Arabidopsis thaliana: one gene and its partner. The protein of the gene in region 2 purifies or fractionates together with the protein of the main gene of each other region. This does not show direct contact. Each region holds a gene or a part of one and is shown on either strand. Other genes may lie near its edges.

Region 1 (5,781 bases), on a different chromosome or scaffold from region 2:
GAAAGATCAATCAGGAACATGAATCAAAGAAAATGGTCCTATTCTATTGCAATAGCACTCTGTTCTACTAAGAAAGCTCAAAATGATTTTAGTAGAAATGTGAAAGAAACATTACTTCCAATATCTGTTCAGAACACTTTGATCCTATTGCCTTGTACACCTGTGTGAAATCACAAGATCCATCAACAGAAAGTCAACCACGTAGGATGAAATTAGTGTCCATTGCAAAGAGAGAGAAAAGCCCTAAATTGATTCAACCTTAGTAGAAGACTGCGTTGTAATAACTGCAGTGCATCCATCACCAATTGTGAATTCACATGAAATCGAATCGCCCTACATAATTTGAACAAGAACTAGATTGATTCAAGCGCATCGATGGCAAATTCATTAATAAAGAGACAGAGAAATAGGGAAATACAGAGACAATGCCGCCACCATAAGTGATACTGTAAATCCAGACAACGTCAGTTCCAGCAGGAGCTGCCTGAAAGTTCAGTGTCGCCGGAACTTTAATAACTAAAGATTGAAAATTCGAAACTGTGAACTCTACGTAGAGAGAGAGAGGAGACCTTGCTAGGAAGTAAGAACTTGAGAGGATACTTCGAGAAGCAGCTCGTAGCTGTAGATCTTCCTCCCACTTTCTCCACCACCACTTTCCCTGTCGCCATCTCTGATCTCTCTCCACACTGTCGTCGACTTTCTCACTCCAGTTTGAGTAGAAATGTTGAATATTTTATATGCAAATCTCATCAGTTTCTGGATGTAGAGAAAGATATGATTTTGGGTGAAAAATGTCAAATTTATAAGTAGGAACAGCTCTCAGGTTCTAATCATACATAAACTCGAACGCAATCCAAATTAATGTTACAACAGTTTTATTTCCCACTCTTTGTGTTTTGTTTGGTGGGTTTTCTTCTTCAGAAACTCTCTTGGATGTGTTTATAAGAGCAAAACTGGAGGGATGTGTCCTTAATGGCGGAAATGTCTAACGTTGGTGAAGAGCAGAGAGACTCCATACTTTTTGCAGCAATCAATAGCGTCTTGGTCTCTAATACTGCCTCCAGGTTCTGCTATCACTCCTATTCCCATCTGGCACGCCTCTTCCACCGCATCTTTCCAAGCTGCAATTCACACAACAACAAATTTCCAATTCAGAACGGCTAACATTTGTTGATTGATGAGTCATTTCAGACAGAAGAATGGTTTCGGAGAGAAAAATATATATACCGAATGGGAAGAATGCGTCACTGGCCAAGGCAGCTCCTTTAGCTTCCTCCCCAGCTTTCTTGAAAGCTATTCTCAGACTCTCTACTCGGTTTGGCTGTCCGCTTCCCATCCCCAGCATACAATTGTTCTATGAGCCAACCCAAGAATCAGAATAAACTACTAGCAAACAAGTACAGAAAGAGAAACAAGAAAAGGAATCAGAGAGGAAAATCCAACCTTTGCTATCACAATGGCATTGCTCTTGACATGCTTAACGCAGAGCCAGGCAAATTTTGCATCCGCAAGTTCGCTTTCAGTCGGAGTTTTGTCTGAGACAGAATTGAAGCTGATGTCTTCTGGAGTTAAATCGTCCGAGTCCTGAGCCAACCAGCCGCCACCAACCTGTCTGAGCGATAGTTTCCCTTGGTCATTCTTTTTAGCTTCGAGGATCCTCAAAGTTTTTGATTTCCCTTTGAGGACTTCAAGACCTTTAGCAGTATACTTTGGAGCAACCACGATTTCATAAAACATTCTAGTTTCCCCGTCTGTTGGGCTCCTGAACTCTCGGATCTCCCTCGCAAGAACCTAGAGACAGTTACAGATCACTAAACAATTGAATAATGTATGGGACAACAGTAGTTTGACTTTTGATTACCTCGTCAACTTCAACATTGAAAGCTACAATGCCACCAAAGGCACTAACTGGGTCAGCTTTTACAGCTAGCCGGTAAGCCTCAAGAATATCATCACGAGAGGCCACACCACAAGGATTTGTATGCTTCACGACTACACATGTTGGGTTTTCAAATTCCGACACACAGTTCCATGCAGCGTCAGCATCAAGATAGTTGTTGTATGACATTTCCTGCTCACAGAAATAAATAGAAAAGTTAAACATAATAAGGCTTGAAAGCGAGGATAAGGATATAAATGGCAGTTTAAAACTATTTGCTCTGTAAATTACACCGGACAGAAAAAGTAGCATACTTTCTTACCTTTCCATGATGCTGAATCGCTGTTGCGATACCACCGGCATTCACTTCAGCAAGGCTCTTATCAACATAAAATGCAGCTTTTTGATGAGGATTTTCACCGTAACGAAGAGAACTCTTAAGTACAAGCGGAACTGTAAAGCTGGGAGGGAACTTCTCTTCTGAGAAAGACATGAATATCAATCAATGTAAGTTGCCAATTGCCATAACTAGTGTAAGGAGGATCACATAAAAACAATCACATACTTCCTTCAGTCTGCTTCCATAGCCATTCTGAAACCGCAGAATCATATGCAGCAACATGCTGAAAGGCCTTCCACGCAAGTTTTCTGCGGAATTGTTGGTCGCTCTGTCCTCCTTTGAGATACTCCAAAACAGCTTGATAATCTCCTGAATCGACAACAATGAGAACGTCTTTGTGGTTCTGTTGAAAAAACAATAGAAAATATACATTTATAATCTTGAAAATAATCTTGCAAGTGTAAAGAAAAAGTCTCATATGCACAGATATATGTATTACCTTAGCAGCTGCTCTAATCATAGCAGGGCCACCAATGTCAATGTTCTCAATCCCATCCTCAAAACTGATCCCACCTGGAGCAGTAACTTTTTCATAGAACGGGTACAAATTGACAACCACAACATCAAATGTACCTGTCATAGAATTAAAAAAAAAAAAGGTACAGTTAAACATAAGGAGACACTATAAATGACTTAGTCTCAAGCTTAATGTAGAGGATCAATCAAAGGTCAAAACTCACCAATCCCATGCTCATTAAGAGCTTCCATATGATGCTCCACATCCCTTCTAGCGAGGATACCACCATGTATGTTTGGATGCAAAGTTTTCACACGGCCATCAAGCTTTAAGAGAAGAAAAAAAAAAAGGAGAGCTAAGTTTAATATACTAAACTCAACAAAACAATGGTATAAACCAAAACTTAAATATAAATATCAGCGAGATCACAAGACCAAAACTTTTAGCAAGAGCAGCGAGCATAAGAGAAAAGAAAAACATGCCATTTCTGGAAAATGAGTAAGCTTCTCCACTTTGGTCACAGAGACTCCAGCATTCTCCAAAGTAGAGGCAGTTCCTCCAGTAGAAACAATAGTGTATCTACACAAATATCAATGAAAAAAGGAATCATTTACATATAAGATAGAAACAAAACCAAAATTTGTATAGTTCTAAGTAAGAGAGAGTTGTGAAGAACACATACCCCAATTCTTGCAGACCGTTGCCAAGAGAAGCCAAGTCCCTCTTGTCAGATAGAGATATCAAAGCTTGCTTCTCCCCTGATTCAATTAAAGCCCGATTATTTGAAAATCACTAAAACGTAACTGAAAATCGATCACTGAATTTGAAATTGCAGCAAAAAGAAAAATTGTAAACCAGAGGAGCCTGAGGATTGCGGCTGATTCCTCTGAGCAGTCTGAGACTCTGCCATGGCTCGAACAGCAACGAAACTTGGACACAGCGACGTACGATAGACCTGCTCATTGAAAATTCCACTAATATTAAAAAGTTTAGCAGAACATGAAACAAAGACACAAAGGAACACGTCCACACACAGAGGAGAACTCACAGGCTGAGTAAAACGAAAAGGCGCGACGGATTTTTTGCGAAACAAGCCGCAGAGAATATCGCCGGAGCGAGCACTCACGGAGGTGGCGGTGGCGGCTGAGCTGAGCATAGTAGTCTGATTTTGAAACAGTGTGTAGTGTTGAGCTCTGTTAGGTTTTGTGATTTTGCGGCTAATTTTGGAAATAAATTAGAAAAAAAAATAAAAAAAAAAGGAAAATATGTAATTTATTATTGGCGTCAGGTGGAATTATGTATTTATTATTATGGCCTTGACAGTTAGATTACACCTGGAATATTTGGAAAATTGGAATAAAGCTTCTCTTTTTATTTCCCCCAAAAATAAAACTAAACTATTTTAACTCCAAATTTTAAAAAATTTAGTAGAAACCAAAATTCTCAAGTGTAAACTAATTAGTAAGAAATAAAACTTTATTGGATCAGAGTGGTAATATTACAAAAGACTAACTATGGAGATGACGAAAGCTTCTTATGTTTTATATGATATTTTATTTGCTTTTCAGAATTTTAAATAATGTAAGTAGATAACAATTATTTTATTGGTAGGCATAATAGTTTTTTTCTCGAGAATATAGTTTTGTTTTTCGAATTGTCAAAATTAGAAGAGAGATTTTAAGGAAGGACTTGGCTTCTTCTCCTACTCATCGATCGTCAAACCGAGGACGCTTCACAGTCTCTGGTGCCGCCTTTCCTGGTATAAACCTTTTTCTCTACTTCTCTCCTTCTTTGCTTACTCGTCTTCCTTTTAGGTGTATGCTGTTTTTGAATTTTGATCATTATTATCGAAAATCTCTGGATCCGATGTGTTTCCACCTGAATTTCGGGTAATGATACTCAGATCTTGCATTTTCTAGAGTTTCAGTGGTTTTGATGGCTTGATCGGCTTTTGTTTTTTGGTTGGGTAGAGGTTTTTAGCTCAGTTTTTGGTTCGAAATGACGCTTATTTGTTTCCTTTTTGAGGTTTGGAATTGTTTCACGGACTTGATTGAATTTTGGATTTAGTTCTATGTTTTGATCTGTTGATTTACACTCTCTCAAAGTTACGATGGGTTTGCTAATAGTTTGGTGAAGTTGATCGATTTTAGTTTCAGCGATTCCTGTTAGTTTAAACTTGAAGAGACTAGAAAGTAGTCATTTTAGCTAGTTTCATGTTGGAAAGTATGCACAGTCAGATATTTGTACTGGATGATCTGTCCCTGCTAGAGTAAAGAGTTTTATTGGTTTGTATACCGAAAATGTTCCTTAAATAGTATGGTTTTCTGAGTTTTAGCCGTATGCTATTTTGGTTTTTTTGTTCTTGAATATGTTTGACTACTTGAGTAAAGTTACTCTTCTCCTATTTCAGGCACCTCAATGAGAGTTTGAGTTGTTCATGATAGAAGTCGTCCTGTTCTGCAGCCAAAACGTTAGAAATTTGCGAAGGATGCTTATGCAAAGATTTTACTTGGGTCATGATCATGATATGTCGCCTACAAGCGTTTGTGAGGGAGCTTATGAACTAGATAGATAGACACCTTGAGAAAGAAAACATGGATCAAGCAAAAGGTTATGAACATGTTCGGTATACTGCCCCTGACCCTAGAGATGAGGGACTTGGCTCCATTAATCAAAGGTTTTCCCACGACTCTTCAACTAATGTTAACACTTATGTACGACCTCCAGATTATGGTGTTTCAACCCCTGCTCGGCCAGTGCTAAACTACTCAATACAGACCGGTGAAGAATTTGCTTTTGAGTTTATGAGAGATAGGGTTATTATGAAACCGCAGTTCATCCCAAATGTGTATGGTGAGCACAGTGGTATGCCTGTTTCTGTTAACTTAAGTGCTCTGGGAATGGTTCATCCAATGTCAGAGAGTGGCCCTAACGCTACAGTGCTTAACATAGAAGAAAAACGTCAGAGCTTTGAGCACGAGAGGAAACCCCCTTCTAGAATTGAAGATAAGACCTATCATGAACTGGTCCAGTCAGCCCCAGTTA
Region 2 (7,680 bases):
TAAACGTCGGTATAATTGAAAATACCAAAAGCTAAATCTTTCTCAAAAAATGGAGATGACTATCCTAAGTCGTCAGACGATTTCGTGATTGTTTCTTGATCCCGTTTAGGTACGAAGTCGGTAGTGTTTATGCATTAGAAGTTTCAGTGAAATTTCCATGTCTTAATCTTTCCCTTAATTAAACAAACGTATCTTGTTTGAGAAAAAGGTTAGTTGTGGAATTGTATATACATTTTTGAATTATTTGGTTATAAATTCATAAGGGTTTTGGAAATGAATGAATCAGAAGACCCACTTTCAATAATTGAGGGGGTTTTGACAGCGACGCTGGGCTTAAGTGGCATCTCCAAAAACAAACCCTCTTTTTTTGTCCTCCCCACAATTATTGATTTTCTTTTTCAAAGATTCAGAAAAGACCAAGAATTTCTCTTTTTTCTTCTTCTTCTTTCGAGTTGGTAATTGGAATAGAATGCTATATGTAGCTTCTTTATACCGGTCGATTTTTCTAGTAGGTTGAGGAAAATGAGGTCAAAAGTCCAAGTTCCACATTTCAAGGGTCAAGGTTGACCTATGTCAAATAAATGTTAGGTGCTGATCTCACACTAAAGTGCTAGTTTACCGAGAGAGCTTCGGATGATCTGGATGCAGTCATTTTTATTTTTTGCATGTGCGAAGCGTAATATATTTTTTACCTTTAATTTGTTAAAACTCAAACGAGTTTCAGTATAGGCGAAGTAACGGAGACATCGTTTTTAATATATTCCACTAGTTCATATTTTTGTGCGTGTTACAAAATACTATTATTCTTTGTTACTCAGATATCATTTGCTAAGGAGTAATTTCCATAGATAAATTTTTGATATTCAAGTTTCAAAACCATACTGTAAAGTGTATGCACATACGTTCATACATCCGAAATTAACTTGAAAAAAGAAAAAAACTTGCCGACCTATATACAACTTGGTGGTAGTTTGTGGGATTAAGAATTTTGTGTGAGATCATGTGACATGTCTTCGAAATTAAGGTTATGCTATTTTGTATATATTTTTAATTCGCAAGTTGATGAATACTGATGGAGGCCGAGGATGATGAGCTCATCAATCATAACCAACAATCTCTCCAACAAATGTTTAGTAAATAATGATATTAATATTTGCAATAAAATGCAAAGAAAACTCTCAGTGCCTCCACACCAAAAGCCTCCACGCTTTCAAACTATTAATTTCAGTTAAGTTGAATAGTGTTAAGTGTTAACTATGGAGAATTGTTTGTTCAATTATTTGATCATTCCATCCACTTGTTTTATTATTTATATCTAGTTTCTTTTATTTTTCAATATCATTTGTAAGTAGCATTAAAAAAATTGAATAAAAATATATACACTTTTTGGACAGCAAGCTCTCTCACTTTTCCTCATTGGTGCTATTTTCGGATATGCTGCAAAAACAACAGAGACAAAATCGTAGATACAAATGTGTTAAGAGGCGCACAACATGAATATTAAATTTTCCCAATACGCTTTTACGTGTAACTCTGAGATATGGTGGCAGCTCGGCCACTAAGGATTCATTTGATAGTTTCAAAGAAAAGCACGCAAAAAAAATCATAGACGTACGTAAGCGGAACACAGAGTCCAGATAGAGTGCAGTTTATTCATATAATCATATTGCATATTTTGACGGAAAAAAAATAAAATCATATTGCATATTTTTCTTCAATTAAAAAATAAATGGGAATTGGCCAATTGGGATATCGACTTACTTTTGGTTATGTGGTTTTCGTCAAACAAAATAAATGGGGAAAGTGAAAATATGTGTAAGCTGTTTCTTTTTTTTTATAACTATAGTAGTAATCGAATCGTTTATTGTTCTTTAGAAAAATAGTATACGAAAAAACGAGAGAATCATTAGGGCTACAATTATAATTATACAAAACCCACTCTATTCCTTAGAGTTTGACCCCACAAGTTTCCTTCGTATTTGGAAAAGACATTAATATTTTTTAAAAATAGCCAACGACGATGACCCACCAACACCACTCTCCATTATTTTAAATTTAATACACCAAAAGTATTACGTAACTTATATAAATTTTAAACCAGATTTTATTGAAGAAATTTAATTACAGTTTTATTCGTCTAAGATCTCGAAGAAATTTTTCTGCAACCATTGATCGATATTCGTCAGATTCTCTTAACTGAAGTAAAAGATGGTTTTCTGTTACTTATTTAACATTTTCTTATTTTTCATATAATATAGTTTTTCTCATTACATAACATTTAAGGCAACATTATAACATTTTCATCGAAATTAAGATCTAACATTAAAGAACCTGCACAATGTAATATGGACAAAACCTCTTAAGCCTAGCAAGTCTTTTGCAGAAATGAAGTTTGAAGATACCAAACAACACATCATCTCTTTCATAATCTCTCCTTATGTGTAATATTGGTCTGCACTTTATGTGGTCATGGACTTAGTCTTGACGCCAATCTTCTTCCAGGAAACACTAGGCATGATTTGTTTCGTGTCCACACGATCTTTAAACTGAACAGCAAAGTTGAGCAACGAATCAAGAAGTGAGTCAGATAGATAGTGAGGCTCAAGTCCAAGTTCCATCAGCTTAGTGTGCTTTGCGTTGTAGTAATGTTCTTCTGCCTCCACTCTCGGGTTAGGCACCGTCATCTTTTTCACGTCTAGCCCAAGCTTTGAACCCGCTTTAGTGACGAGTGAAGCCAGTTCATTGACTGAAAACTGTTCTGTAAATTGGTTGAAGACCCGGAACTCACCAGCTTTTGCCGGGTTTGCTATAGCGATCTCAACACATTGAACCGTGTCTCTTATATCGAGGTAGCCTCTCGTCTGCAAAGGGAAAAACTTCAATCAAAACCTCAAATTTTTCGATTGAAATTTCATGTGAAAACAGATCAAGAAAGTCATTTACCTGACCACCTTTACCATAAACTGTAAGTGGGTGACCAACAGCAGCTTGCACACAGAACCGGTTAAGTGCTGTACCAAACACAGCATCGTAATCCAGTCGGTTACGGAGTTCCTCATGCATCTCTGTCTCATCAGTCTTCACTCCATAAACAACTCCTTGGTTGAGATCAGTGGCTCTAATACCCCAAGCCTTGCAAGTAAAAGCAATGTTGTGCGAATCATGAACTTTGCTAAGATGATAAAAGGAGCTAGCTTGCTTGGGGTATGGCAAAGTGTCAGTTCTACCGTTGTGGGTTATGGTTATATAACCTTCCTCGATGTCAATATTTGGAGTTCCATACTCACCCATCGTCCCAAGTTTTACAAGATGACACTCCTCTCCAAACTCTTTTATAGCAAAGAGAACGTTGAGAGTCCCAATCACATTGTTGTGCTGTGTATAAACTGCTCTGGACCGGTCAATCATCGAGTAAGGAGCGGATCTCTGTTCCCCAAAGTGGACAACTGAATCCGGCTCAAAAGACTTGAAAGACTCAGCTAAGAATTCGAAATCACAGATATCACCAACGTACAACTCAATTGATTTCCCTGTCAAAGCCTTCCATCGGCTGATTCGGTCATGAATGGAGGCAATAGGAGTCAATGACTCAAGTCCAAGCTGGTGGTCGAAAAGACGTCTTACAAGGTTGTCAACAATGCAAACTTCGTAATTCTTCTTGGACAAGTGGAGAGCAGTAGCCCAACCGCAATAACCATCTCCACCAATGACCATAACACGCTTTGGTTTAGAGGATGAGTTATTGGTAGATGTTTCGGGTGGTGCTTGTTGGGTTATAGGTACAGCAGTTGCTCTGAAAACGCAGCTTTTTCTCGGTTTCTTCTCTTGGAAGAGAAGTCCTTTGAGAGAAGATCTTGAAAGAAGCTGAGCATTGAAGAAGGTCTGCCCTGAAACAAACGGCTTAACTGAATTCTTGCTGCTGCTGCTGCTAAGTGAGATAACTGAAGGGCATGAAGCTGAAAGTAGATGCGCCATTTTAAAGGTTTGTTCTTGATTCTATCAAACAAATTCACCTGCAAAAACAAAAGCAGCTAAGATTTCAAGACATAATTTGGTTCAGCAGAACAAGACATATCAAGTAGATGTTTCATACCATATAACAAGTAAGGATTCAGCTGATTTTCTCTAGTTTAACTTCAAATTCAAATCAAAATCCAAAAAGACATGAATAGAAATCGAAACTTTATCTTCACACCCCCCCCCCTAAATCAGCTACGTCCATAACAAGAGAAGAATCAAAACACACGAAATTTGAAGTCTTTTATCGAATCTGAAAATCAGCTATTGTCAAAGACTGGATATTTATTTGATCAACTAAAGTAAATGTAAGAAAGAAGTACATTGATGAAATTCAGAGAAAACCCAACTGAATGAAAACTCTGTGAATTTTGATTTCCTATCATATTCAGAGTTTCTTCAAAACGAAATCACTCAACTTACAAAACCGGAGAAATGAAATTCATTAGAAGAAACGATTGCTTACCTTTGAAAATTTGGAATCTTGTTTAGAGAGAGTTGGAGAAGATCCTTCGAGACTTTGAACTTTGAAGTGAGGGATGGGTCTCTCTTCTCTTCTCCCGGAACGATGAGAGATGAGATGAGACAGATATAAATCATCAGATATGCCCAAAGCATATTCTTACTTATTCCCTTCCCAACAAATTATGGCCCAAAGTGTCGCTTTTTTAAGAACGTTGGTTTATTAGTTTTAAAGTTTTCCGGTTGTGAATGATACAGGTCCGGCCTTTGTGGGCCAGTTTCTCAGTCGCTCATTTAGGCAACTTAAGGAACATTCTTCCCTTACTGGGCCGGTTGGCCCAAATATATACTTTTTGAATATGTTTGTGGCTATTTTCTAAATTTTAACTTTTAATTATTAAAACAGAGAATCATGAGATAGGAGAAAAACAAAATCAACTGTAAAATGCAAACCTAACTTACATAATCTTTTGAATGAAATTTTATTAAGACGCAAAACATTACTAGTATTTCGCATTGTAATAGTCATTTTTCTGCAAGTTGACCAAACAAGAGTCATACTTCTGATGCAAGATACGAACAAAGACTTCAATTATAACAAAACATTCTCATACATCTCATCTCTAATTCTATATTTGTTTTCTCGTAGTTATTATCTTCCAAACTTTAATATTCTTGTCAATGAGGGTACTAGATGAAAATGACGACATTCTATGGTCATTTGATTCCCGTGAACCTCATGTGACCTTGTTAACGTACGTGCACGCACACACAAACCCTCGCACTGATTGACATTCTCCCAATCTTTCTTTATAAAACACACAGACAACTCCATAATATTAATAACCCATATATACTTAGCTTGCTGGTTTCCTTGGCAATAATTTATATAATTCTACAAGTTTAATCGCCTAATCGGATTTAGTAAATGTCTCTCTTACAGGTCTGAAACTTCTTCCACTTCATCTATTTAATGTTATTTTGCTTCTTCAATCCTGTTTCCTCACATAATTTTGCCTCATAATGTTTTCAGGATTTTTGGCAGTTTCTTCGACCATTATCATCTGGTTTGACAGGTATTGTCACTTCAAATCTCAAAGCAATTACTTCATTTCGCTCTTAAACACACTTAAATGCAAATTTTGAGATTTTCTTAGCAAAGTTAACTCAATTTATTTTTGCATGTAACAAAACAGAGTCGTTCACAACTAGCTGTGACTCGGGCGACTCAGACCCGTGCCGAGATGACGCAGCTGCTCTTACCCTCAAGTTCGCAGCTATGGCGTCGATCCTTATCTCCGGAGCTGCCGGAGTCTCGATTCCTCTAGTTGGAACCCTACTTCCGTTAAACGGTGGCTTAATGAGGGGAGCCAAAGCGTTCGCAGCAGGAGTTATCCTCGCAACAGGGTTCGTTCACATGCTCTCGGGCGGATCCAAAGCTTTGTCCGACCCATGTCTGCCGGAGTTTCCATGGAAAATGTTCCCTTTTCCAGAATTCTTCGCCATGGTCGCGGCGCTTCTTACTCTGCTCGCGGATTTCATGATCACGGGATACTACGAGAGGAAACAGGAGAAGATGATGAACCAGTCCGTCGAGTCGCTTGGTACGCAAGTTTCGGTTATGTCTGACCCAGGTCTTGAATCGGGTTTTCTGAGAGATCAAGAAGATGGAGGGGCGTTGCATATCGTGGGGATGCGGGCTCACGCGGAGCATCACCGTCATAGCCTCTCCATGGGTGCCGAAGGTTTTGAGGCTCTCTCTAAGAGAAGTGGTGTTTCCGGTCATGGACACGGCCACAGCCACGGCCACGGGGACGTAGGCTTGGACAGTGGTGTGAGGCACGTTGTTGTTTCTCAGGTAAACGACCTTTTTCTTTTCTTCATATGTTTTTTGACTTTGACTTTGTTTTTCGTAAGCTCTGACTTTTAAGTTTTGAGTTCTTTAATGCTAATAAGATTTATTTATTTCAAATGCAGTTGACTTCATTCATATACAATGTAGCCAAGTCAATTGGATGAATTCTAATAACTGTACATGACTTGCATAAGCTGTTTTAGAGTTGTTATAGTAATCAACTATAAAGTTTTACAATGCCAAGTTTAGTTAGTTGCTAATCACTATATAGATTTTGTTATTGAAAAAAATAATAAAATTTATTTTATTGCTTGTTTAAGTAATTATTTAATGTTATCTTCGTAACTATTATATATAGTACTACTTCATGTTCATTCTACCAAAACATTATTAATATGAAAACGAAAAAATAAGATAATTCTAAAATATCATACTATTATTTAAGTTTTCTTCCAAAGATACAAATGACGACTTAAACGCATTGTGGAAACATTTTTTTTTTTTGGTGTGTGTGTGTGTGTTAATATATTTTGACGTTATGTGACTTAGTCAAACCAATCCGTTTATATAATTTCCTTGTATAGTGTCGATGCACAAAATCAATTGATGATACCCTTATATTTTTGTATTCAGATACTTGAAATGGGAATAGTGTCACATTCAATAATCATAGGAATATCGCTTGGAGTATCACATAGCCCATGCACCATACGTCCTCTCCTTCTCGCTCTTTCCTTCCACCAATTCTTCGAAGGTTTTGCCCTCGGTGGCTGCGTCGCAGAGGCCAGACTAACCCCGCGTGGATCTGCCATGATGGCTTTCTTCTTCGCCATCACTACTCCGATCGGTGTAGCGGTGGGAACGGCCATTGCCTCATCTTACAACTCTTATAGCGTTGCAGCATTGGTGGCTGAAGGAGTGCTCGATTCTCTCTCTGCGGGGATACTTGTGTACATGGCGCTTGTGGATTTGATCGCTGCGGATTTCTTGAGCAAGAAGATGAGTGTTGATTTCAGAGTTCAAGTTGTTTCTTATTGCTTTTTGTTTCTTGGAGCTGGGATGATGTCTGCTCTTGCAATTTGGGCTTGATCACTTTTCATTATTACTATTTGTTTATGAAAGTAATAAATTTAGGCATGCCTTTTTCTTTTTTCTTTTGGACAGAATTATTATAGGTATGCCTATCACTCTATTTGTTTCAAAATAATGTTTGTAATCAATTCTATTAGATATTCACTCTTTATCAATCATGTTATATATTTTTGTAGCTGGTAAACAAATAATTAATTTTTGAACAAAAAACAAAAACAAATACAATTAGTTTTTACAAGCAAGTATGCAACTGA

The links. The genes of interacting proteins can lie anywhere in the genome.
Region 1: the proteins of SQD1 (region 2) and AT2G35040 fractionate together in Arabidopsis thaliana (co-fractionation; one large-scale study listed by BioGRID). This does not show direct contact.

What each region holds. Positions count from the first base shown.
Region 1 is NC_003071.7:14,764,378-14,770,158, forward strand, and holds AT2G35040 (AICARFT/IMPCHase bienzyme family protein), read right to left. Parts: upstream 3,942-5,781; 5' UTR 3,893-3,941; coding exon 3,785-3,892; intron 3,711-3,784; exon of another isoform or gene 3,692-3,710; coding exon 3,592-3,691; intron 3,495-3,591; coding exon 3,419-3,494; intron 3,316-3,418; coding exon 3,219-3,315; intron 3,063-3,218; coding exon 2,960-3,062; intron 2,853-2,959; coding exon 2,719-2,852; intron 2,623-2,718; coding exon 2,445-2,622; intron 2,360-2,444; coding exon 2,202-2,359; intron 2,072-2,201; coding exon 1,862-2,071; intron 1,792-1,861; coding exon 1,444-1,791; intron 1,355-1,443; coding exon 1,228-1,354; intron 1,122-1,227; coding exon 970-1,121; 3' UTR 768-969; downstream 1-767. Other genes in the region: URED (urease accessory protein D), read right to left, coding at 116-160, 259-333, 419-484, 570-668; AT2G35050 (kinase superfamily with octicosapeptide/Phox/Bem1p domain-containing protein), read left to right, coding at 5,331-5,781.
Region 2 is NC_003075.7:15,932,346-15,940,025, reverse strand, and holds SQD1 (sulfoquinovosyldiacylglycerol 1), read right to left. Parts: upstream 4,654-7,680; 5' UTR 4,484-4,653; intron 4,014-4,483; 5' UTR 3,976-4,013; coding exon 2,944-3,975; intron 2,862-2,943; coding exon 2,460-2,861; 3' UTR 2,193-2,459; downstream 1-2,192. Other genes in the region: ZIP9 (ZIP metal ion transporter family), read left to right, coding at 5,408-5,422, 5,513-5,555, 5,676-6,337, 6,968-7,423. UniProt on the Arabidopsis thaliana protein: Involved in the biosynthesis of sulfolipids found in thylakoid membranes. Converts UDP-glucose and sulfite to the sulfolipid head group precursor UDP-sulfoquinovose.